Drosophila melanogaster: one gene and its partner. The protein of the gene in region 1 interacts with the protein of each later gene in a pairwise test. Each region holds a gene or a part of one and is shown on either strand. Other genes may lie near its edges. The genes, in order: CG31559 and Act42A.

What was found.
Region 2: the proteins of CG31559 (region 1) and Act42A interact in a two-hybrid assay, tested with the Drosophila melanogaster proteins (one large-scale study listed by BioGRID).

What each region holds. Positions count from the first base shown.
Region 1 is NT_033777.3:6,148,786-6,162,617, forward strand, and holds CG31559 (uncharacterized protein), read right to left. Parts: upstream 8,451-13,832; 5' UTR 8,272-8,450; coding exon 7,381-8,271; intron 2,264-7,380; coding exon 1,790-2,263; 3' UTR 1,331-1,789; downstream 1-1,330.
Region 2 is NT_033778.4:6,010,417-6,020,263, forward strand, and holds Act42A (actin 42A), read right to left. Parts: upstream 5,274-9,847; 5' UTR 5,161-5,273; intron 5,007-5,160; 5' UTR 4,985-5,006; coding exon 3,854-4,984; 3' UTR 3,494-3,853; downstream 1-3,493. Other genes in the region: Src42A (Src oncogene at 42A), read left to right, coding at 1-131, 194-352, 516-693, 755-921, 987-1,195; Pngl (PNGase-like), read left to right, coding at 7,417-7,792, 7,848-7,939, 8,002-8,837, 8,893-8,977, 9,037-9,133, 9,190-9,599. UniProt on the Drosophila melanogaster protein: Actins are highly conserved proteins that are involved in various types of cell motility and are ubiquitously expressed in all eukaryotic cells.

The DNA of each region.
Region 1 (13,832 bases):
CATTCAGAAAGGAAAGGGTTCTCCTTCGGTCAGTTCGGTTGGTCAGCGGGTTGCCGGTTGTGCATTCGGGGCGGCATGTTAACAGAAGTGTGAGCCAAGTGGAAAATAACATTAAAAGGGCCATAACAATAACTAACAAAGACACCAAAAGCAAATGGCAATGCCGAATGGCTGGCTAACTGGCAAAGGGGCCAGGACGCTTTCCACCAGCTTTTCCACTTTTCCCGCTTTTCCCAGCTCGACCAGAAGCAGGCCGACAAAAATTAAATGGCGCGAGAAAATTGCATGATCGGTGTGGTGCAAAAAGGGAGAAGCCGGTTTACATAATTGCCCGAAGCCAGAAGACGCACTTGGATAAAAAATCGACACTTTAAGACCAGCATGCACCGAAAGTTTGGTTTTAAAATCCATTTTCGCTTTTTATCTGGCGTATAATAAAATCCATTAGGAACTAAAACCTATATAACTAGTATGAAATAAATATGAAATAAATGAAATTTAAAGGATAGTTAGTAACAGGATCTTAGTATTAACTTTTCGTGACTTTAGGAGCATTCATACTCAATGTTTAATTTTGGATTGTGTTGTAATAATACAGTTTTTATACACTTAACAACCGTTGTTGTATTTCTCGTTTTTTTCGTTTTCGTTTCTTTATAGTACTATATTTCTGGGAACTCATTTAAAAAGATTTTTTTTTATCTTTTCTACCTAATGACCATTTTTTCTCAGTGCATACTCAGCAGACTTGATGCATAAGCCACTGGCTTTTTCCTGAAATATACACTCTTTGTCTTGGCCAGCTCTGCGGTGGCATAGATTTGGCTGCTCCTTTGCTTTAGTTGGGCAGTAAGTCACTTTCCCAGAAGGCTGGAGAGCAATGGTCCGGGTGATGTGGTAATAAAAGACGATCCAAAAAGGAAGAATCATCTGGGTTGGGCTTAGCTCCTCCATGTGGGCTGGCAGCCCTGGAGAAAGTCCGCCAAAAAGTATGCAACGCAATCAGCGAATTTCCAAATTAATTTTAAGCGCCGTCAAACATTCAAGAGGCTGCAGCATTTAACCGAACGCAAAGTAGGTATTAGGCTTTGCATACTTTGCGGTTCAATTGCAAATTAATGAAACATTAAAGCACTAAACTGGTTTAATTGCATCTGAAATATATGCTCTGCACTTCAGGCAAACAATTTATTTGTCGGCAAATATTGGTTTGCTATTGGTGAAATATTTCATCGGTCCGACCAACATTCTAGCCACCCAGAATATGTATTATCCTCCTTTATATCGCACACATACATTATACATGAGATAAGATGAAAACATAGTGGCTCCTTGGTTGACTTTATATTTATTTCTAAATTCTTGTTGGTTTTGATTGTTGTATTAGCTTAAAATTGACGAACTTATACATAATTATTCAAAACTTAAATGTTCTCATTGGGATTCACCGATTAAACAAACATTTATTGACCTAAAATTTACCTATTGTATAACTTACCTCTTTATAAAGATGATTTTTTGACACATTAGCAGGAGTTAGCAGAAAACTTAATGCGTCTAAGCAAATTAATTAAAGATTAAATATTTTAGCAAAGTACTTATCCCAAATTTTCGCTGAAACTTGCTAGTACGTAAATTTACCCCCACTATTTCCTCGAAAATGAAAACACAGACCCTGGTACGGATTAGCTATTTACTACTTAAGCCTAGCATATTCCGAGAGTATTGGATTTTAGCGGCTTAGACTAACTGGGCTTACGAATTCTAGAACTGGGACTCGGACTGCGACTCAGCAATTGTGGCACTTGACCAGGCCCACCTCGTCGCAGTTCATGCACTTGAGGGCCACGAACTCGGCAGTGAAGTGGTTGCGGTGCACGGACTTCTTGGACCCGTTGCAGGAGGGGCAGGGCAGCAGGCGGTAGCCGCCGCAGGTCTGGCAGGTGTAGGTGCTGGCCATGGACTTGTACGGTTTGAGCAGCTGCCTCAGCTCGCCGGACTCGTTCATCCGCTCCACGGTCTCGGCGTCCCCGATGTGCTGGCCCTCGACGTACAGCTGTGGCACCCGCACCTGACCGCTCTGCATCCGCTGGCGCATCTCCGCCTGGTACTCCACGCTCATGAAGACGTCCCGCTCCTCAAACTTGACCAGCAGGGTGCGCAGGATCTGCTTGACGTTGGCACACTTCGTGTAGGTTTCCCGGATGATGCCCATGCTGGTGGTGTACAGCACCACCTTGCCCAGGTCTTTCTCCTTGAAGTTCTGCGGGGCGGGAGGAATGGAAGTGGAAAAGCAGATCACAGATTAGTTCGAGTTCTGGTTTGGCGTTCGGCGCGGACCGAGATGATGAAAAGCAGGCCACCGAAAACTGGAAACTGGCCCGCCATTCGCCACAGAGTGCGGATTTCGAAGTCTGCCATGGCCAGGCAAGAATGGCAATGCCAAATTGGGTCTCTACCGGCTGAGGATGAAGGCCAACCGCAGACAAAGGCGATGCGGAAGAGCTGTGCAGGCATGGCATAGAGGTTTTAGCATTCAAAACACGATATTCTACGGTTGACTATTCCTTATGTTCGGGTAACCAGTGCACTTAAATTCTATTTTTAACGTAACGTCGTGTTTCAATTGATTTTAAAGCGTGTGCTCCGAAAACGAGTCATTCAGATGATGTGTAATATTTTTGTATATGTTGTTAGACAATTGTCTGGCTTCATACAACATTTTTGAGTGCGTAATGACAAAACATTTTAAGTTATTATAATATTTGCTAAATATACAACAAATTATTGTTTTTTGTTACATATCATAGCCAAAAGCTCCCCAACCAATTTTCGAATCCAATTACTCCTCACATGTAAAAAATAAGATTTCCTGTCTGGCTAACTTCAATTTCCGACATTATTGGATCAGCAAACATTAGAGAGATTTATTGAATTAGTAATATTGCATTATTTATTTTAAGATTCATTTAAGATTTAACAGTGCTTTATTTACATTTCGAGTGTTCCCCAAACTGAATAACCAGCACTTGCGGCTAGAATCAGGTCTTGGCCATAAACCGACAAAGCAGTTTGGAATTCGGGGGCTGAAAACTGGTTGGAAATTGCATTTCGAACTGAGCCTGGTGGAAAACTCGGCTCTCTCTGCCAGGCTTCGGGTTCATTAGCTCGAGGCTTGGACTCGCGTAACCCAACTCCGCAGCTCGGCAACTCTGCATGTCACTCAAAATCCTATTAATCAATACAATTAAGCAATAATAGGAAAACTGCCAGGCAATCGACGTCGCCAGTCAGCAGAGTCACAATGGAAACCTGGAATGTTTTCCCGACAATTTATGATGTCTTATTTTGTAAGCGAAACCGGTTCGCAGCTGGGTTCGCTCATTTCATTTGACAATTAACATTTCCGTTAGTTGGCCAACTTTGGTGGCGTCTGCTTTAGCTAATGAACCAAGTTGGTCCGAACCGAACCAATCCGATCTGATCCCGGTTCCCCCACCTGCACTACTGCTGTGGTATCAATGAACCGTGCAGAAGCGTCTTGTACACATAAATAAAATATTGAGAAATCTCGAAAGACGTTTTCAATATGTGTTGATTTAAAAGAAAAAGAATGCATTTTTCACGATAATGTTAGGAGATTAATAATAAAGATTAATGGTATAATGGTAGATAGATATAATGGTAAAATTTGTATTCATGAGGATATAAATAGTACAAGAAATATGTTTAAGACAGCATTTTTATTTGAGCATCTGATTTGCTCATTGTTGATTATGGTTTTTTGATTATTCCCAAATGAAGTTATGTCAAAGAATCTATACATTGCTTGTATTGACTCGAAGGCTCATCTCGGAGGATAATAACAATTTGATAATTGAAATTAGAAAATAATAAGCTTATCTCCCTTTTTTTGCTCTAGAAACCAGTGAGACGAGAATTTGCATACCAAGAATATGGAAAAGAAGGAGAATTAATGAGCTGGTTGGGGCAGGGAAATGGAAAATGCACACATACACAGCCAGAGTCGGAGTTCGAAGTCGGAGACAAAAACACATCATTCCAAGAGAGATGCAGCTGCAAGTGCCGTTGTCAACGATAAACGACAAAAGCGAGAAAAATATTTCACGACAAAACTGAGGAAAAGTTCAAAGCCACGCATCACGAACCAAATCGACAATAAACAACTGGCTGGCTGACAAACAAACAACTAGCTGCGGTCAAATGGAAAGTCAACTCCAGCCAGCTCCAAGTGAACGTTGCCGAGCTGTTTTTCCAATTCAATTCCACCGATTGTCTTCTAGCGAAAAGAAAAGCCCCCAAGCTAATAAGCCACCAAGTGATAGTGGTGGTGGTAGCCCCCTCCGTCAGTGGTTCAATGTCAGCTCGAGCTGATGATTTGCATTGCCAAAAACATAAACACGGCGGCAATTAACAATTACCACACGTGATTTGCACGGTTGACCTCAGCGGCTTCGCGACTTTTGTCACAGCAGCACACCAACGCGAGCAACGCTTGCAGCAGCAGCAACATCTATCGCAGCAGCAGCAACTGCTACATATAAGTGGACAAAAGAGAAAGCAGGTCACTTGTATGGCCAAGAGCCAGCGGTGGAGTGATTGGCAATCGAAGAGTTGGGCAACAGCCACATCGAGATGGAGGCTAAAGCCGAGCCAGCAGATACTGCTGATGCTTCTCGAAGGTGACAAAGTGAGTTGTGTGTTTTCCGAGCTGAGCAGCCAGCTCCAGCAACTCCAATTTGTGGCCAATCGGCCATCGAAAATTCGGTGAGCGCTCTAATTATGGCTTGCAGCAATGCGCTGAAAAGGTCTGAAAGGGGTTATGAAAAAAAAAAAAGGAAAGGGTAGAAGAAAAGGCCAAGACTACGCTGGCCCAGCTTTTCACTTTCGATTTTACTGCTCTGCATACCGGCTGCATTGTAATTAGCAGCATCTCACTTTCCTCATTGTGGCATTCAAATGCTTCCTCCTGCCCGAATCATTTGCTCATTTGCATGCGAGCCGCTATAAGGCCATAAAACATTTCTATTCAGTTAGCATCCAATCCACCTAAGTTATGCCGATTCGCCGTTGTTTCTAGTCCGCCGAGCAGGCCAGCTATCATTCCATCAATTCATCAGGTCCAGAAAGTGAAAAGCCACGGAGTCGCAGGCCGAGACGCGAAGCAAAACAATTAATGTGATCTAAAATCTGCTCATTAAATTAGATAAAGGGAAATCTCGGAGCGGGCAACTAATAAAAGCTAAAAACCATAAAAACAACATCGTGCCCAAGCAGAAGTGTGTATTTGGACTAGAAGAGATTTCTACTCCCGTCACGGTTGATAAAGGCAAAACGGGAGAAAAGCGCTCGAAAAGCCGGAAAAACGATTGAGCGATACGAGTAATCCGTGAAACGGGGACAGGTTTCCGATCCTAAATGGCGTTTGGTGTGGAAAGACTCGAAATCAATGACAACGATTTCCCAACGATTTGGGAAGGGGAATTCCTAATGGCGGCAATTCAGTTAATTTGAGACATTAAACTCAAAATATGTTTGATTTCTGATGATGACTCTCAAGACGCAATCGAAATACTAGAAAGCTAAGTCGGCAATTATAAATCAGCATTCAATCCGAGGTATATTCATGATGTTGATACGTAAGAGTTAATATATATTTAATGCTACAATGTAGAGGAATGGTTCGGTATTAGTTTGCTAGAAACTAGAAAGCTCTTTAGCCAAATTGGTAAAAAAAAATAAATTTGAAAATACATGGAAGGTGGTATATTTTCATCAGAAGACTAAATGAATGAACATTCAATCAATTTATCAAGAGATTTCGATAGTGCTAATAAATTCCACAGGCTTTGACGATCTTCAATAAAAATGCTAGAAAGCTCCAACACACTCACACTAACAACCATAAATCAGCGCAGAGATATTGATTTATCAAGTGAATAAATTAAGATCGCTTCATGCAAATCTAGTTCCGAGAACACGCCTCGGCTCGGAATAGAAACTATCACTAATCCCGCTTTTGCGATGACAACTCCACTTCGCTCCATTGTCTCCGCGGAATTAGCACTTCTTTTTATTTGTTTTCCAGCCCCAACTCCCAACTGCCCGACATTAACTGCGATTAGTCGTGTCAATCCCGCGCCCAAACTACATGTCTCTGGGAACAAGGGGCTAAAACAAACGCGACTTGGCCAACTGGCTATCTGGGCAAGTTGTAGACGCGCGCTAAGCGCATACAAAACGACATCGGCGGAGACAAAATAAGCCACTTAACGGTTTCCATTATAATTGAAGAAGAAACCGACGAAGACGCTGAAAGCGCAGCTGGTTTCCCAGATCTCGGGGCTTCCAAGGGGACGATGGGGAACCACGAGCTGTTCATTAGATTACGGGCAAATACGAAACACGAAACACGAAATGTGAAAGATACTCGTATATTGAAAAGCCACAGCCACATATCGGCCGCCGCAATTGTTGGCCACCACTTTCTCCATTTCAGCCAACTGAAATGCCGAAATGTCGAGATGCAGGCCAATTGCATAATTTGGGCGAGCAGGTGACTCAACGCCACTGGAGGCCTCTGCCGACGCCCAGCAGCGTGGGAACCGAATAACCATCGATATCTGAATATTCATATCGGTACTTATAACCACAGCGGAGGTCAAAATTTTAGTAAAGTCTGCAGAAATCGTTGCATTAAGTAATGTGAGCGGTGTAAATATATATTGTGCTGATCTTGTTAGATCCGAAGATCAAACAATTTTTTTTCAACAATAAAGTTTAGCTCAAAATACTTCCTTAAAATAAATAACTTATATAATTATAATGTTTCTAAGTATATGGTTTAGTGTGTGCTAAAATGTTAAATCAAGTATTATTAATTAATTTAACCCAGAACAAAAAAAATGTAAAACAAAACTAATTAAAAAAAGACATATCGTTACTATTGACTTCCTCAACTATTATACCCATTACATATACTAGATACCCATTAGTCAGCTGCTGGTGGGCGTAAATTTCCGATATTTCGGCATTATAATGGAAAACAGACTGATCTACGCTTGTACATCTGTTAATCACTTTTCAACGATTGTGTTGTTACGGTGTTAACGACTGTGTTATGTATGCATTTTAAATTGGAAAGAAAATGTTATTAATCCGATATCAGATTAAAGTGAGATTTCTTTCTTGAATGTAAGATTAAGACAGTGATTAGTAAACCGGTATTTAGGGGTATGCAACTGATAGGCAATCAGTCGACTCTGACCTGAGAAGCATTTTAATACCGTACGCATCCCATCCCGTTATCCAATCATACGTCCCCATACCATCCCTACCCGACATGATCACGAAACTCACCTTGGCATTGGGCTGCTGCTGGAGCTGCAAGAACGTGGCTATTCCATTGCGCACACGGTTCTTGACGCCCCGCACCGTTCCCTTGGCCGATCGGATAGTGGACTGGGTGGAACTGGCCCCACATCGCACGTCCCGATAGCCGGCGAAGAGGTCTTGCTGCTCCGTTAGGATCCCGCTGTCGGAGCCAGCCTCCGATCCCGCTCCCGTGGAGTGGTCCGCCTCGTCGCCACTTCTCGCGCTTCTCGCACCGAAGTTCTCGTGCTCGTTGATGTGAAAGCTGTAGTATTGGTCGTCAGCATACTTGTAATTGATATTGCCGCGGTGTCCGCCGATGTTGCTGCTGGCTGGAAGAGACTGCGATGTGGCATCGATGCTGTCCAGCGTCTCCTCACCGGTTTGAACGAAGTTGGCCCGCTCCACTGCGGCCCGCAGCTCCTCTATTTTGTCCTCGCTCAGCGATTCGCGGGCCAGGCGGAACGGACTGGGTTTCTCCGGAATCTTGTCGGGGACCTGGATCTTCTCCTCATCCTCTGGCTGCGAGAACTGTACCACATACTCGGTGCTCCTCCGGTCCCGTATGTCGCGGAGCAGGCTGTCGGGGAGCAGGGCACCCAGGACCCGCAAGGACTTCTGTCGCTGCCGCTGGCCACTGGGCTGGGAGGCGGACTGTCGCACGTACTCCGTGCTGCTCCCGTGCATGGAGTCGCTGCCCAGCGAGGAGGGGCCACTCTCCTCGCTGTCATCCGGTTTGGTGGGCAATCCGGTGCTCTCCAGGTCACTGCCATTGCCACTGTCGGCGGTTTCACAGTGGGCCGCGTACTGCTGATACTGGTCCATGAAGAGGCCGCCCGCGTTACCGCCCTTGCTCACAGGGGGCGTGGCCAGCACCATATCACTTATCTGGCTATCTAGAGTCTGCGGAGTAAGCCGTCTTTCGGCTGGCACTGTACAGTATTGGCTTTTATCGGATTGGCCCAGGAAAATGCAAGCGTTCAATGACTCTGACGGACGTTGCACCCGAGACGTCGCATGTCTTTATGCTTCAGATATCGTCGCTAGACTGGACCGACTTTTTCTGGCCAAGATGGCAAGCCAGAGCTGCAATGGATCCACTCCACTCAGCTCTCTCTCTCTCTCTCTCTCTCTTTCTCTTATTCGCTCTCCGGGCCACTTTATTCAGCTCTCAGCTGGAGATTCAGCAACTCCGCGGTGGCTTTCTTTCGGCCAGATTGCACCTCCGCCGCGCGTTATTAGATTTGGTAATTTAAAGCCCGTTGCCGGGCTCAAATTGTTTGTCATTAGCCGGAGAAGAAGTTTCTGGCCGCCTCGCGAATTAGCAATTGGCCTACAGAGCCGGGGGCAGCAGCTGCCAAAGTTGGCATGACGCCTGCGCGTGACTGTGACGCGATCCAATCCAACTGGGAAATTTAGTAAGCCCGATCGCTTGGCCAGATTGGAGTTCCGAGATCGCAGAACCGTAAGAACGCGAGTTAGCGGACACTCCAGCAGCGCCTATTAAATAATATTTCAATTAGGGAATGGAATCGCTGGAACTTGACCTAGTTGACCCACTTTTTCGGTTAGCGGTTGGTCGCTAATTGATTCGGCAGCAGTAGTCGAGAGCCTATAAATACCAAATGTTTTCTTTTGAAAAATTAGTATTAACTTGGAAAATACTTGGAAAATTCGAGCATTTAAAGTATATATAAGTTAGCTCAAGAATGTTTAGGTGAGCACAGATTTTGTAGAGCTGTTATTAAGCTACTTAAATATCGTTCTGCATTTAATTATTAAGATTTATGGTAATTTAATAAAATACAATTTCTTATCCATAATATGATAATAATTTCATTAGCAAAATGCATGCACGTATTACAGATTTGAATCGATTTTGCGTTGTTTGTTCTTGGCTTGGTTTTTATAGCTATTATATAAATTTTTAATTAAAATCTTAAAATTCGTAAGAATTTAAATCTTGACCTTACCAAATACCTTGTAAGCGCCTCTACCAATCTCTAGAATGTCCAATTAACACCTTAAGTGACCGAGAAGTGCATTAAAAAGCATGTTGCCACGATTACAGACACCTAAATCAGAATATAGCGATTATTCAACCAAATAGCAGTCCATGGTATTTCGGACTATCTCAACACACTGTGCGTGACAATTTTCCGAATTTTTTATTGAATGAGGCGAACGAGTCATCGACGCAGCTTATCGACCGCATCTCGGACAACTTCCTGTCCAGATAGCAAAGGTTACAGTAACTCATTCAGTCGTCAGTGGAAATGTGCGGCCAGCATGAGTTGGCCAATAAAGAATGTCTGATGTGCATTTTCCCCAAACTCCCTCACTCACTTATTTTTATTTATGCCACAATTCTGGCTGAGGATGAGCGAGTTACCACCCCACCCCCTAAACCCCCACGCCTCTAAACAAATCATCGGACACTCAACCGGGAAGACGGCAACTGGAACACCGCATCCGGCCGAATGCTGACATTCCGGCCGAATGCTGACATTACACAAAAGTCGCACTGCAACATTGTCCCCAGCTAGCCAGCCACATGCCGAGTCGGCATGTTCATTATGCTTACAATTAAGAACCTATGTACTTATGTATAAGACGAAAACGGAGGACTCGAGTAGCCACTCTCTGACAATAAACTTCATACTGATTTTGAACTTCAAGAAAGTCAGTCGTATTCTTTATTGGAAATCTTCACGCTACAACTATCTGCTGAAACTTAAAAACCTTCATACATTTACACATCATATCTTCACAAAAGGCTCCACCCTCGATCACGGACTTAACTGGCGCAGCCGGTAGGATGTCCTACCTATTAATAATTACCTACCTGTAAGTAAACATGTAAGAAACGAAACAAACTATATGCAAGATGTCGACTGAAAGTGACTAGGAACAAATTTTTATAAAACAAAATTGAAGTTGTGAAGTACCAAATGAAACTCAAACATATATTCAAACACAGGAAAAAAAAAGAGAGAGGAAAAATGTAAAATAAATAAATATACAAAAAAAAAGTGCAAGTGTACCGTACTGCCGCGCTGACGTGGAATCTATCGCTGATCATCACGCCATCGGTATGTCCATACTCTGCCGAACGTCATAATTTTTTTAAAAAAGTGCAAGTGTACCGTACTGCCGCACTGACGTGGAATCTATCGCTGATCATCACGCCATCGGTATGTCCATACTCTGCCGAACGTCATAATTTTTATAAAAAAGTGCAAGTGTACCGTACTGCCGCGCTGACGTGGAATCTATCGCTGATCATCACGCCATCGGTATGTCCATACTCTGCCAAACGTCATAATTTTTATAAAAAAGTGCAAGTGTACCGTACTGCCGCGCTGACGTGGAATCTATCGCTGATCATCACGCCATCGGTATGTCCATACTCTGCCAAACGTCATAATTTTTATAAAAAAAGTGCAAGTGTACCGTACTGCTGCGCTGACGTGGAATCTATCGCTGATCACCACGCCATCGGTATGTCCATACTCTGCCAAACGTCATAAGTTTTTATAAAAAAAAAAGAGTGCAAGTGTACCGTACTGCCGCGCTGACGTGGAATCTATCGCTGATCATCACGTCATCGGCACTTACATACGCTGGCCAACGCATCGCCAAAGCCTCTATATACACTTATATATGTGAGCATACAATATCAACTACAATCCAATACATCCACGTACTGTACCGCCTCGTTGGCATGGAATCAAACGCTGATCACCATGCCACCGTGGTAAACAAACAAAGCACCAAAGCCTCTCTAATACATTGTACACTCAAAACGCACACTGCCATACGTCGGCGAAAAATCAAAACATAAGCAAAAATCATTTCAAACCAAGCGAGGCTCATTCTGCGTACCACAACGACAACGACACTGCATGTGTAGTGGCGCACCCATGTCTGGGTAGCCGAGGTAAGGGGAAAACGCTTGAGTATCGTCAAGTGTTCTTGCCTTTCACTCTTCTACAATGGGTTGCTACGCTCATGTATTGCACATTCAAAATAACCAAAACAAATGTACTAAAGAAGTCGACATATACAGATATATTTTGTTTCCTTTCATTGTGTAATTTTGTATATCAAACAAATACTAATACCAATCACATTGCAGAATATAAAAGGGAAAATATAAAGCCAAAGACAGACACCCATACACTCTAGTAAACAAGAAATTTGTTCATTATTTTTCAATCATACATAATATACTAAGTAACCTCAAATTTAATGTCAAAAAAGTTCGTTTACAACCTTAGGAAAACTACACGTTCAGTTGTTGGAGTTCCACCAAACACTAATAGGCCCCCACATCCCGTTAGACGTCCTGACTCCCTTCTCCCGATTTCGGAAGAACCCAAATCAATATCTTCCCAAACCCCCAATATGGACTCGGGAAACGATTCTGCCCGCCCCACTCCATCCCCTCTGGCGCCCACTGTCAGTGGTATTAGCTCCTTAATTTCAACTACGTTCAAGCCTAAAGATATCATGGCATTTGTTGAGCATTTGCCAACCTTTGATGGTACACCTCGTCTATTGGACAGGTTTATCACTAGCGTAGAAGAAATCCTGATGCTCATCAGGGGAGCTGACCAAACACCGTATGGCCTGCTTACTCTGAGGACCATCAGGAACAAAATCATTGATAGGGCCGACGAAGCCTTGGAACTGGCAAATACCCCCTTGGTTTGGGATGAGATTAAAAGCAATCTCATCCGCCTCTACTCGAGCAAGAAAAGCGAGGCCAACTTGTTAAGCGAGCTTAACACATTTTCGGACAACCTGACCTTGGGCCAACTGTTCTTTGGTATATCAAAGGTGAGAAGCCAACTCTTCTCCATACTCAAAAACAGCGAACACAACAACACTGTTGTAGATGCAAAAAAGGTTGTCTACAACGAGGTTTGTCTCAATGCTTTTATGACTGGTTTGAAGGAACCTCTCAAGACTTTCGTCAGGATAAAGTCCCCTTCTACACTTGAACAGGCGTACGAGCAATGCCAAATAGAGCAGACCTTATATAGGGCACAAAACAAGCGAACCAACAGACCAGAGCAGGGACCCAATGGATCAGACAATAAAACCTACCGAAATAGCTACGACAGCAATTACCGCAGCGGACGTAACGACCGAAATGACCGTAGGGGACCCTACTCTAACTCTAACTCTAACTCTAACTCTGGCCAAAATAGACCATTTAATTCACACAATCGCACACCCCAATCCGGCACCAAGGACAACCGGGCCAATACATCAAACCCCTTTCGAGCACCTTCACATAGTTTGAATAATATAGAGGAGAACCCTCAACCTGATTCGAATTTTCAGCAAACGGCCTCGGGAAACCAACAGGGTACATAAGCCCAGCCACGCACAACCCCTCGCTTCCTTTTATAAAAATCAAACTATCCCAGACAAACCCCCTGAAGTTTTTAATTGACACAGGCTCTACACACTCCTTCATCGACCCAAAATATGTCGACCCTAGGAACTGTGTGACCTTAGATACGCCCATAACACTCAAAACAGCCCTGAACAGTTTTAAAATATATCAAAACGTCTCTATACCATTTCCACCGGAATTCCAAATCACGGGCAAAATGACCCTTCTACCTTTCAAGTTCCACTCTTATTTTGACGGATTGATAGGAATGGACTTATTATCTTACCTAAAAACAGAAATAGATTTACTTAACCTAAATCTAAAAACCCCAAGTACCATTATACCCTTATGGACCCACAGTAACTCAACTTCAAACGTATTTAATATCTCTGGACATACGAAAACTATTTTGCCACTACCAGTGGAAACCAAACAGGGCGACTTCTACATCGATTCAATTACAATCAATGATGACTTAATAATATCAGACGGGATTTATAATGCCCAAAACAATATTGCTAATTTCGTTATCACAAACTATAGCGAGAGGGATCAGTTATTGTACCTCGAGAGCCCGATAAAAGGCATGCCATACTCCACGGCCAACAATGTTGAACTTTTCAGTATCACTTCAGACACCCCACAGCCCCAAAACTCCGCAGCGTCGTTACAAGCCCTTGGCGTCGATCACCTCTCCTCTGAAGAGAAACAAAGCCTACTTTCACTTTGCAAAAGTTATCTAGATATCTTCTACAATGAAGACAAATCATTGACCTTCACCAACAAGATTACACACACGATTAAAACCACGGACGACACCCCCATTCATACAAAATCTTATAGATATCCTTACATTCATAAAGAGGAGGTCAAAAAACAAATAGAGGCAATGTTAAATCAGGACATTATCAAATCCAGTTATTCCCCGTGGAGCGCCCCCGTCTGGGTCGTCCCAAAGAAAATCACTCCTACGGGAGAGCAAAAATGGCGTCTAGTTATCGATTATAGAAAACTCAACGAGAAGACTATATCC
Region 2 (9,847 bases), on another chromosome or scaffold:
TCGCGATCAGTGGGAGATCGACAGAACGTCTTTGAAATTCGTGCGCAAACTGGGCTCCGGACAGTTTGGCGATGTCTGGGAGGGATTGTGGAACAACACAACACCTGTGGCAATTAAAACTCTGAAATCTGGTAAGTCTGCAGTCGAGCTAACTCATAAAGATTGGTCCCATCACTTTTACTTTGGATTTCAGGTACAATGGACCCCAAGGATTTCTTAGCGGAAGCCCAGATCATGAAGAAACTGCGCCACACCAAGCTTATACAGTTGTACGCTGTCTGCACTGTTGAGGAGCCTATCTATATTATCACAGAGTTAATGAAGCACGGTTCACTGTTGGAATATCTCCAAGGTATGCCACTAGGAAGGAAAGCCTAGGAAAAAATAAGACGCTTTGCATAAAAAAAAAATGAACCAAACACTTTGAACATCTTTTTTCATGCCACTCAACGTTAACCAACCGCTCGCTTATCATGTCATGAAAATTGCTTATTTTTGTTTTTAATATCTTTTAGCCATTGCAGGCAAGGGTCGTAGCCTTAAAATGCAAACTCTGATTGATATGGCAGCGCAAATAGCTGCTGGCATGGCTTACTTGGAGTCCCAGAATTATATTCATAGGGATTTAGCGGCGCGCAATGTACTGGTAGGCGATGGAAACATCGTCAAAATCGCCGACTTTGGTTTAGCTAGGTAAAGACACGGCTTTAAAAAGACATAACTAACTCCTATAACGCAAATCTTCAATGTGCAGGCTCATCAAGGAGGACGAATACGAGGCGCGGGTAGGCGCCAGATTTCCCATAAAATGGACCGCTCCAGAGGCTGCTAACTACAGCAAATTCTCAATAAAATCGGATGTTTGGAGCTTTGGCATTCTTCTCACAGAACTGGTCACCTACGGACGCATACCATATCCAGGTAAGTCACACCTTTGACTAGATTCAAACTCTTAATAATCGAATCCGGCTTATCGTTTTGATTAGGCATGACCAACGCTGAGGTGCTAACGCAAGTGGAGCACGGCTATCGAATGCCGCAACCTCCCAACTGCGAGCCGCGCCTGTATGAGATTATGCTGGAATGTTGGCACAAGGACCCCATGCGCAGACCCACGTTTGAGACGCTACAATGGAAACTGGAAGACTTCTATACATCTGATCAGAGCGACTACAAAGAGGCGCAGGCCTACTGATAAATGCTTTTCGAAGTCACGGACGTGGCCAGCAGTCGTGACGAAAATTAAGACAGCTGCAAAAAATCGCCAGGCATCCCAGAACGGACAATTCTTACTAAGTTACTTTTGTTTTGCATAGATTTTCTACTGCTGCACAACGTGTCCATGGGCCCCCGTTTGGTGCCCGTTGGCTGTGGTTGTCTAGGTACCGATACGATTCATGTTATTAGCATTTAAGGTAAATAGTTGCTGAGGTGGAATGCAATTTCAAATGACGTTCCATTGGAACATTCGTTTTCTTGTTTATTATGACAAACATATTGGCACTTGGTCGGATTTATACGCTTTGACATCCTTGTCGTATATTTCGATTAATATATCAAATGTATTATTATTTATATAACGCATATAGCATATATTTACGCGTATACACACACATATATATATATGATCACTTATATACAAATATAAATACAACCGTATAGTCACACCTTCATATGCCGAGACCCTCATTATTGAAGTATGCTAAAACATACTTCCCTATTTTTCTTTAGTTGATAGGCCAACCTGAGAACGATATTTGCAGCACACACATATACAAAAATTTTTCACTTTTAGTTAATTAATTACGTACGTGTCTTACTTCTATTCTCACTGAACATTATCAACGACATTATATGCTTTATCACAAATAGAAAAAGCAACACAAACGCCAATCATTAAATATATGCTAGCTACTGGATACTTTGCAGTGCCCAATAGCTAAATCCATATAATTACTTATTTAGAATTTAAATGTAATTTGTAACCTTAACATAATATGCATAAACAAACATACATATACGAAAACATGTACATTTAGAACCAAGAAAATATTTCTTTATAATTTATAAATATAAAATTCTTTAAAATTAAACTCAACTTTGTTCACTCATTCTTTTATCTATTATGGAGGGCTTGAAAAAAGGCAAGGACTTGTTTTAAAGTCACTCAGTTTTTGTTGAAATATTCCAAGATAGCAGTTTTAGTGTTGATTTCTCAGAAACATATTTAAAAAACTCAAATTCTTATAAACAACAGTGAAAATAGTAGACAAAGTCAGCAAATTTCCCCGTCACATTATTTTTAACGCAAGTCCTTGCATACACAAATTTAAGAAATATAAAATGCGCATAAGTATTAAAAATTTTATTTTGCAATTCAAAATCATTTTGTTTTTTACTCAGACCATAGGCGGGGATTGGCAAACTTCTCTTTCCTTACCTTATTTTATTAAGCTCTGATAATTTTATTAGTTCTAGTTTGCTGACCTTACTACTAAAATATACAAATTAACCAAGTATGTATGACACACGCCATAAAATGTTGATAACTGCCAGAAATCGAAAAGTTATGTGAAAATATTCCTATTTTTAAAGTATTGAAATTGTATTGAACAAATCTACCTATCGATGGATTTGGAAAATACATTTATTTAAAGCCAGCTTCCAGCGTAGAAACCCAAAATATATTGTTTACAGCAATAAAGTTAGTTAGGCATTTGTTGCAGTGACTGAAGTCTATAACGGCCTCCATATATGGACATCGACGATCGACGCATGCGCTCTTCTTACGAATCTACTTTCTGGCTACAGTTCATTAAATTTGGTCAACGCGCTTGTCCAGATCACCAGCAGATTTGCTAGGGATCCCCCAAATGAATTTCTCTACGTTTCAACACCCAAGTGATAATCGGATGGGGCGGGCCGGGCCCCACCTATCAACAAAATCGGGCAAACAATGCCAATTGATGACAACGAAAACTACTCCGAACATTCGTGAGTGAGTCAACATGGCTTTGTTTTGGTCTCGATTTGCAGTGGCCAGTGCGAGTGCGATTGCGGTATTCCTCCACTATTTCCTTATAAGGTAACGCTGATGCAGCTGCTTTTGGCGTTTCACTTGCTTCACTCGCAATCAATCAACGTAAAAATACCGCTTAGACTGGGTGGGGTCGGGTGATAAGCGGAGCGAGTCCAAACTGAATCACACCCTATGCTCAAATGTACATATATCCGATTCGACAGAAACTGCAGGCCATAAACTGGCTTATCAAGGCACTTCCTGCAAACCGATGCTTGCTCCCATCTGACTTAAACACAAAAGCAAAGCATGCCTTATTGGTTAGCGCTTTATCTGACGCCTCCGCCACTGCATGCCAGTGGAATGAGCACATAGCCATCGGAATATCACGGTCTCAGATTGCCTCTTACTCATGCCAGCCAAATGCTAGCTTTTTTGGTGGAAAAAATAATAGAATAATACAAAAGGAATTTTCAGTTCTTTTCGTCGCTTTATTATTAAGAAGCGGTTACAAGTATTTTAGTGGTATGGTAAGTTTGCTTTTAATACATATGTAGGAATGCATGGAAGTAATGTAAATGCCAAACATGAATCAGTTTTATAAATGCTTATGTGCATATGAACTTGAATTTCGAATAGAACACAATATGGTTTGCTTATGCGTCGTGTACAACTGTGTATAAAAGTGAATGGAATGCATTCTTCTGAAGGAGCGGAAGTGTTGTGCGCCTGCTCCCGGTATTAATGTACTCATGCCCAATACTTTTGACTCCCATCCTTTGTCTGCAATGGGTGTGTTCGATGAGGAACGACCACGCCCAGCCCGACTACTGCTTAGAAGCACTTGCGGTGAACAATGGAGGGGCCCGACTCGTCGTACTCTTGCTTCGAGATCCACATCTGCTGGAAAGTAGACAGCGAAGCCAGGATGGAGCCGCCGATCCAAACAGAGTACTTGCGTTCTGGCGGGGCAACAATCTTAATCTTCATGGTGGACGGAGCCAACGCCGTGATTTCCTTTTGCATGCGGTCAGCGATTCCCGGGTACATGGTGGTGCCGCCGGACAGCACAGTGTTGGCGTACAGATCCTTACGGATGTCGACGTCACACTTCATGATTGAGTTGTAGGTGGTCTCGTGAATGCCACAGGCCTCCATGCCGAGGAACGACGGCTGGAACAGCGATTCGGGGCAACGGAATCGCTCATTTCCGATGGTGATGACCTGTCCATCGGGCAACTCGTACGACTTCTCCAGGGACGAGCTTGAAGCGGCCGTGGCCATCTCCTGCTCGAAGTCCAAGGCCACGTAGCACAGCTTCTCCTTGATGTCGCGCACAATTTCACGCTCGGCGGTGGTGGTGAAGCTGTAACCGCGCTCAGTAAGAATCTTCATCAGGTAGTCGGTTAAATCGCGACCGGCTAGATCCAAACGGAGGATGGCGTGCGGCAGGGCGTAGCCCTCATAAATGGGCACAGTATGGGAGACACCGTCGCCGGAGTCCAACACGATACCTGTGGTACGGCCGGAGGCGTAGAGAGAAAGCACCGCCTGGATGGCAACATACATGGCCGGAGTGTTGAAGGTTTCAAACATAATCTGAGTCATCTTCTCGCGATTAGCCTTGGGGTTCAAAGGAGCCTCAGTAAGCAAGACGGGGTGCTCCTCCGGGGCCACACGAAGCTCGTTGTAGAAAGTGTGATGCCAGATCTTCTCCATGTCGTCCCAGTTAGTCACGATACCGTGCTCAATGGGGTACTTCAGGGTAAGGATACCACGTTTGCTCTGTGCCTCATCGCCGACATAAGAGTCCTTTTGTCCCATTCCTACCATTACGCCCTGGTGACGTGGACGGCCGACAATAGAAGGAAAAACTGCACGCGGTGCGTCATCACCGGCAAAGCCGGCTTTGCACATGCCGGATCCGTTGTCGACCACTAAAGCTGCAACCTCTTCGTCACACATTTTGTAGAAATTTTATTTGGATCTGCAAGAGAAAAGAAATCTGGATGTGTACACTAAAAAAACAAGGAGACAGGACAGCGGCTAACGTAAAAAAGAACGCAGACGGGACCGACCCCTTCCAGAAAGGAATAATAATGACCGCACAGACAAAAAAAAGTGTTGGGCAGGAGTCTTACCTTTTATGGAAATATGTAGGAGTAGTTTCTAGTTATCCGCTGCACACACTTAGCACAATGACAGACGCTTTAAGATTGAATTGACCGACGCCTACTTTTTCGAGTTAAAGTGGTTGAAAAGTAGTGTGACCATATACGCATAAAATTATGGTCTTTTTTACTTCCGAAGTGACTCCACCAACAATAAATGTGCGATAAGTTGGAAACGGTGAAGACTGGAGAGCGGACTTTTTTTAAAATTTTTTATTCATTGGTATACTGACGTGTTATCAACAAATTAGAAATGATCTAAGAATCCTTGAAAATGCATTTAAAAATTATGCAGTGTTCTCAAAATTCGACCAAAAGGGTTTTGAAAATACCGCCAAATGCTGTACCTGCACCACAGGGAAATCCATGTTATGAACCGATGTATAGCACTATCATTTCGACGCTAACTTTCAGAATGTATTACACCGTTTACAGAGCGTTTTGCCAAGTGGCCCGGTATCTCAACCTTTTGTTTTTAATTTCATTAACTAGCTGTGAAAGCTTTTGCATTAAGCTATGTAGAGTTTTCCAGGAAGTTGCAATTTCAGAACATATTTCAAAAAGTGTTGTGTGACATGAAATCAGCCTTAAATAACTTTTATATTAAAAGGACATGAATTTAGTTGGATTTTAACAAATATATATATATAAAATACTTAGGTTATTTTTATAATTTGCGTATGTACCTTGCGTACGTATGTGCCTTGCAGCTGAGAATATTTTCTAATGTTGGACAGAAACAGATACAAACAACATTCCCAATAGGGAATTCGCTCTTGATCAACATCTCTAGCCGAGGCGACCTGGCGATGTACTAATGTTAGCATAGACATCAAAGTCTCTGGAACTATATTGGTAGGATGTTAAAACTAATCATGCAAATTCTAGTGACGCCTACTTCGGGCAAGTTTGTTTTATTGTATAACTACGCCACTTTCACTCTAACGTCCACAAGCCACAAAAAACTGGCAAGCCCACAATTTTAAAATGAACTTGTTTTCGATTTCCAATATATGCAATGTATTCATCTAAATATTTTGCAGGAATATAATTTTTTTAATCTTTATTCCACATGTACGCTTCAGAATTGGTTGCTAAAACTGAATAAAGCGAATATCCAGTAATTGGATATCTAATATCCATTATACATTGTCTTTAGCATTCTCCTCTGAGAATAAGTTTTTTTTTCGCATGATTTCAATTGATATTTTTTACAATAACATAATTGTTTATCTCTAATTTAATGAAATAAGTTCGAACGTATCCATTACAGAATCCCTGAAATCTTTATAAGCCGAATATTATTCAGACTAAGAAGTAGCAAGCGTTATTCATAAAGATAACAAATAGCGTTAAAAAATATTGAAATATCTTGCCACATGAAAAACGATCTGTAAATGGTGTAACACATTTAGCAAGTTAACATTGGTATGTTGTTGTACATCGGTTCATGTCACTAATTTGCTTGGTGCGAGTGCTGGAGCTGGCAGTATTTTCAAGTCCCTTTGAGCTGTTCCTACTGTAAGGCGAATTTTCGGAGAGCTGTGCATAATTACTTTATCAATTTTCCAGGATCCTTGCTCTCATAAGCTTTCTCTTTGAGCAACAACAATGTAAACTTAATTTGAAACATGAACCGTCCATTTTAGAACACCCTTAGTCCTAAGTGGATTCCTAAAAATTTTTTTTTATTTTTCTATTACATTATGTATTTAATATATAATTTATATACTTCCAAGACCTAATAAATATTGGGAGTTCCAAATCAAAACATTCTTCGATCGCTACTAACTAAAAATGGTAATTGAATGCTTTGTGTATTTTTAATCCGTTTTTTTAAGCAAAAGATTATTGAGTAATTTTTATAATTTCAACACGTGATAACTTAATATTTCTAAGTAACTTATTTCCTATTTAAAGCAATTGTTGAAATTTAGAGATTTCTTACCTTTTTTAAAATGTCTATAAAAAGGAGATCCAAGCTCTATTTTTCGTGCATAAATTTGTTGTGCATCCCCACAGGAAAAGAACATGTACGCTAGTGGAATCCGGCTGGCTTCATTCAACAAAAAAAAACCTAAAAAACACCTCTTTTGTTATCGCTTGAAGTTCGCTAAACTAATCGCGTTTTCCAACACCATAACCCTTTGTGTCTGCATGATTGTCATCCGCCGGCCACCCCTACTAACGACGAAACCAATCTGATAGTGGCAGCTGGTCATCAACATGGTGGACATAAACTTGGAGTGCGTGCACCAGATCGAACCGAAGACCCGTTCTGCTGGTCAGCAGCAGCAGGAGCGAGGGTTAAAGGAAGCCTACCTGGAAGCGGTCCGCATTCTGTTAGTGCTGCTGGAGAACATCTTGGCGCAGCCGGAGAACTCCATGTTCCGCACCATACGGCAGGAAAACAAAGCTATTAAAGAAAAGCTGCTGTCCTTGCCCGGCTGTGAGAGGTTACTGGAAGCCATAGGCTTCGTACGCGCCCCCAGTTCCAACGCCTACACCTTGCCCACAGAGGTGTCACTGCAGCAGGTGAAGAAGTACAGAGATGCGCTGAGCGAGAGACGCACTGCCTGGCTTAACGGCACAGTGTCAAAAAGTAAGCTTTGGGGGCAAGACTGACATCCTAATCATCATGTCTCGGATTTTAATAGGTCCTCCTCAACAAAGCACCACCAGCACCACGCCCTTGTTCATCAAGCCTTCTGTGGAATATCGCCATAGAATCGCCTTCCCCCGTGTATTGGTAAGCCAGCCATCGAACAAGATAGACCTCTGCTGTATTCTGATGTGGAAGCTTGTTTTCAGCGCACCAATAATAACTTTCTGCAGTCGCTAGAGCTTTATTCCGATGCAGTCATGCAGTACGAGGATAACCTGCTGCTGGCTACTGGCCGCACTCTGATTCCTGTGGAAGAGCTCACCGAAATGGCAAGCGAGAAACTGATAGACATCCAAGATCAAATTGCGTCGGGTGAGCGCCAGGAGAAGGAGCCATGTGTTCGCGACTTGCTGCTTGTGGAGCTGGTAAACTGGTTCAACACGCAGTTCTTCCAGTGGGTAAACAATATACCTTGCCGCGTGTGTGGGAGTGAAGAGAGCAGGCTGCGCCGCACTGAACGGGAAGGTGATATAAGGGTGGAAGTCACCGTTTGCTGCGGCCAGGAGAGCAAGTTCTACCGCTATAACGACATTTCCCAGCTCCTAGTTTCCCGTAAGGGCCGTTGCGGAGAATATGCCAATTGCTTCACATTCCTCTGTCGCGCCCTCGACTACGACGCCCGTATTGTCCACTCGCATTTTGATCACGTCTGGACCGAGGTGTACTCCGAGGCCCAGATGCGTTGGCTCCATGTTGACCCCTCCGAGAACGTTATAGATTCTCCGCTGATGTATCAGCATGGCTGGAAACGTCACATCGACTACATTCTTGCATACTCTAGGGACGACATCCAAGATGTGACTTGGCGCTATACTAATGACCACCAGAAGATTCTACACCTACGAAAGCTGTGCGGGGAAAAAGAAATGGTGCAAACGCTGGACGCGATTCGAGCAAAGCGGCGGCAAAATTGCACCGCCGATCGAAAGTTATTCCTCAGCCAGCGCAATATGTACGAGGTCATCGGCTTGACGCTAGAGCGGTAAGCATTTACAGGAAACTGTTCGAAATTAAATTTAATCCCGTTTCCTGTTTAGTAAGCCGACAGAAAACGAGCTGAAGGGTCGGAGTTCGGGAAGTCTTTCTTGGCGGCAGTCACGTGGAGAGCATACTTTTACCAATGTAAGTGATCTGGCCTGAGACGCGCTGCCGGCCGTTTGTCACCTTTCATGTATTTACAGATATTCGTTTTCAATCTAAGTGCAACCGAACTACAAAAAAGGCAACTTAATGTGCGTTACAGCTGTGCCACCGATACATACGAACGATATGCCAAAGGCGAGTCATGAATTTATTTACAGCACTATGAATGCTTTTAACTTTTATATCCATAGAAGGAGAACACATCACTATTTTGGATAGCTATAAGACATGGCAAAAAGCGCAATTTTCCTCAAAGAACATATTTCGGAAAGTGGAACGCGATTGGAAAATGGCATATTTGGCTAGACTGGAGGATACCGATTGCGGAGAAATTGCCTGGACGTTTGATTTCAGCAAGACCAATTTAAAGGTTAAGTCTTACAACTTAGTTTTCGAGACAAAAACTTTTGGCGACGGAAAAATCAGCGTGACTGTCGATGCCACCGACGGAAGCGCTTCGGTTGAAAATGCCACTGGATTCAAAATAGTGGCCAAACTTACGGGTGGCAAGGGCGATGTAGCATGGCAACACACACAACTGTTCAGGCAGAGTCTTAATTCAAGAGACTATCCCTTCGATCTGCAAGTGCAACTACATTGAAGTCCTCAAAAAATATTTTGGAGAAATTAAAATGTAATTGTAAATAATATAAACGATTCCCAGTCTGGATGAAAATATAATAATCAAAAATGTATATTAAAAATTAAATAAAGGCACATAGTGTCGCTATATGTAATTATACTTGAAGTTTTAAGGACTAACTTTTATGAAATTTCTATATATATAGAACAAGCGCATGGAAACAGTTAATACAAAATATAAGGTTCTTAGATTTGGGTTGCAGTTAA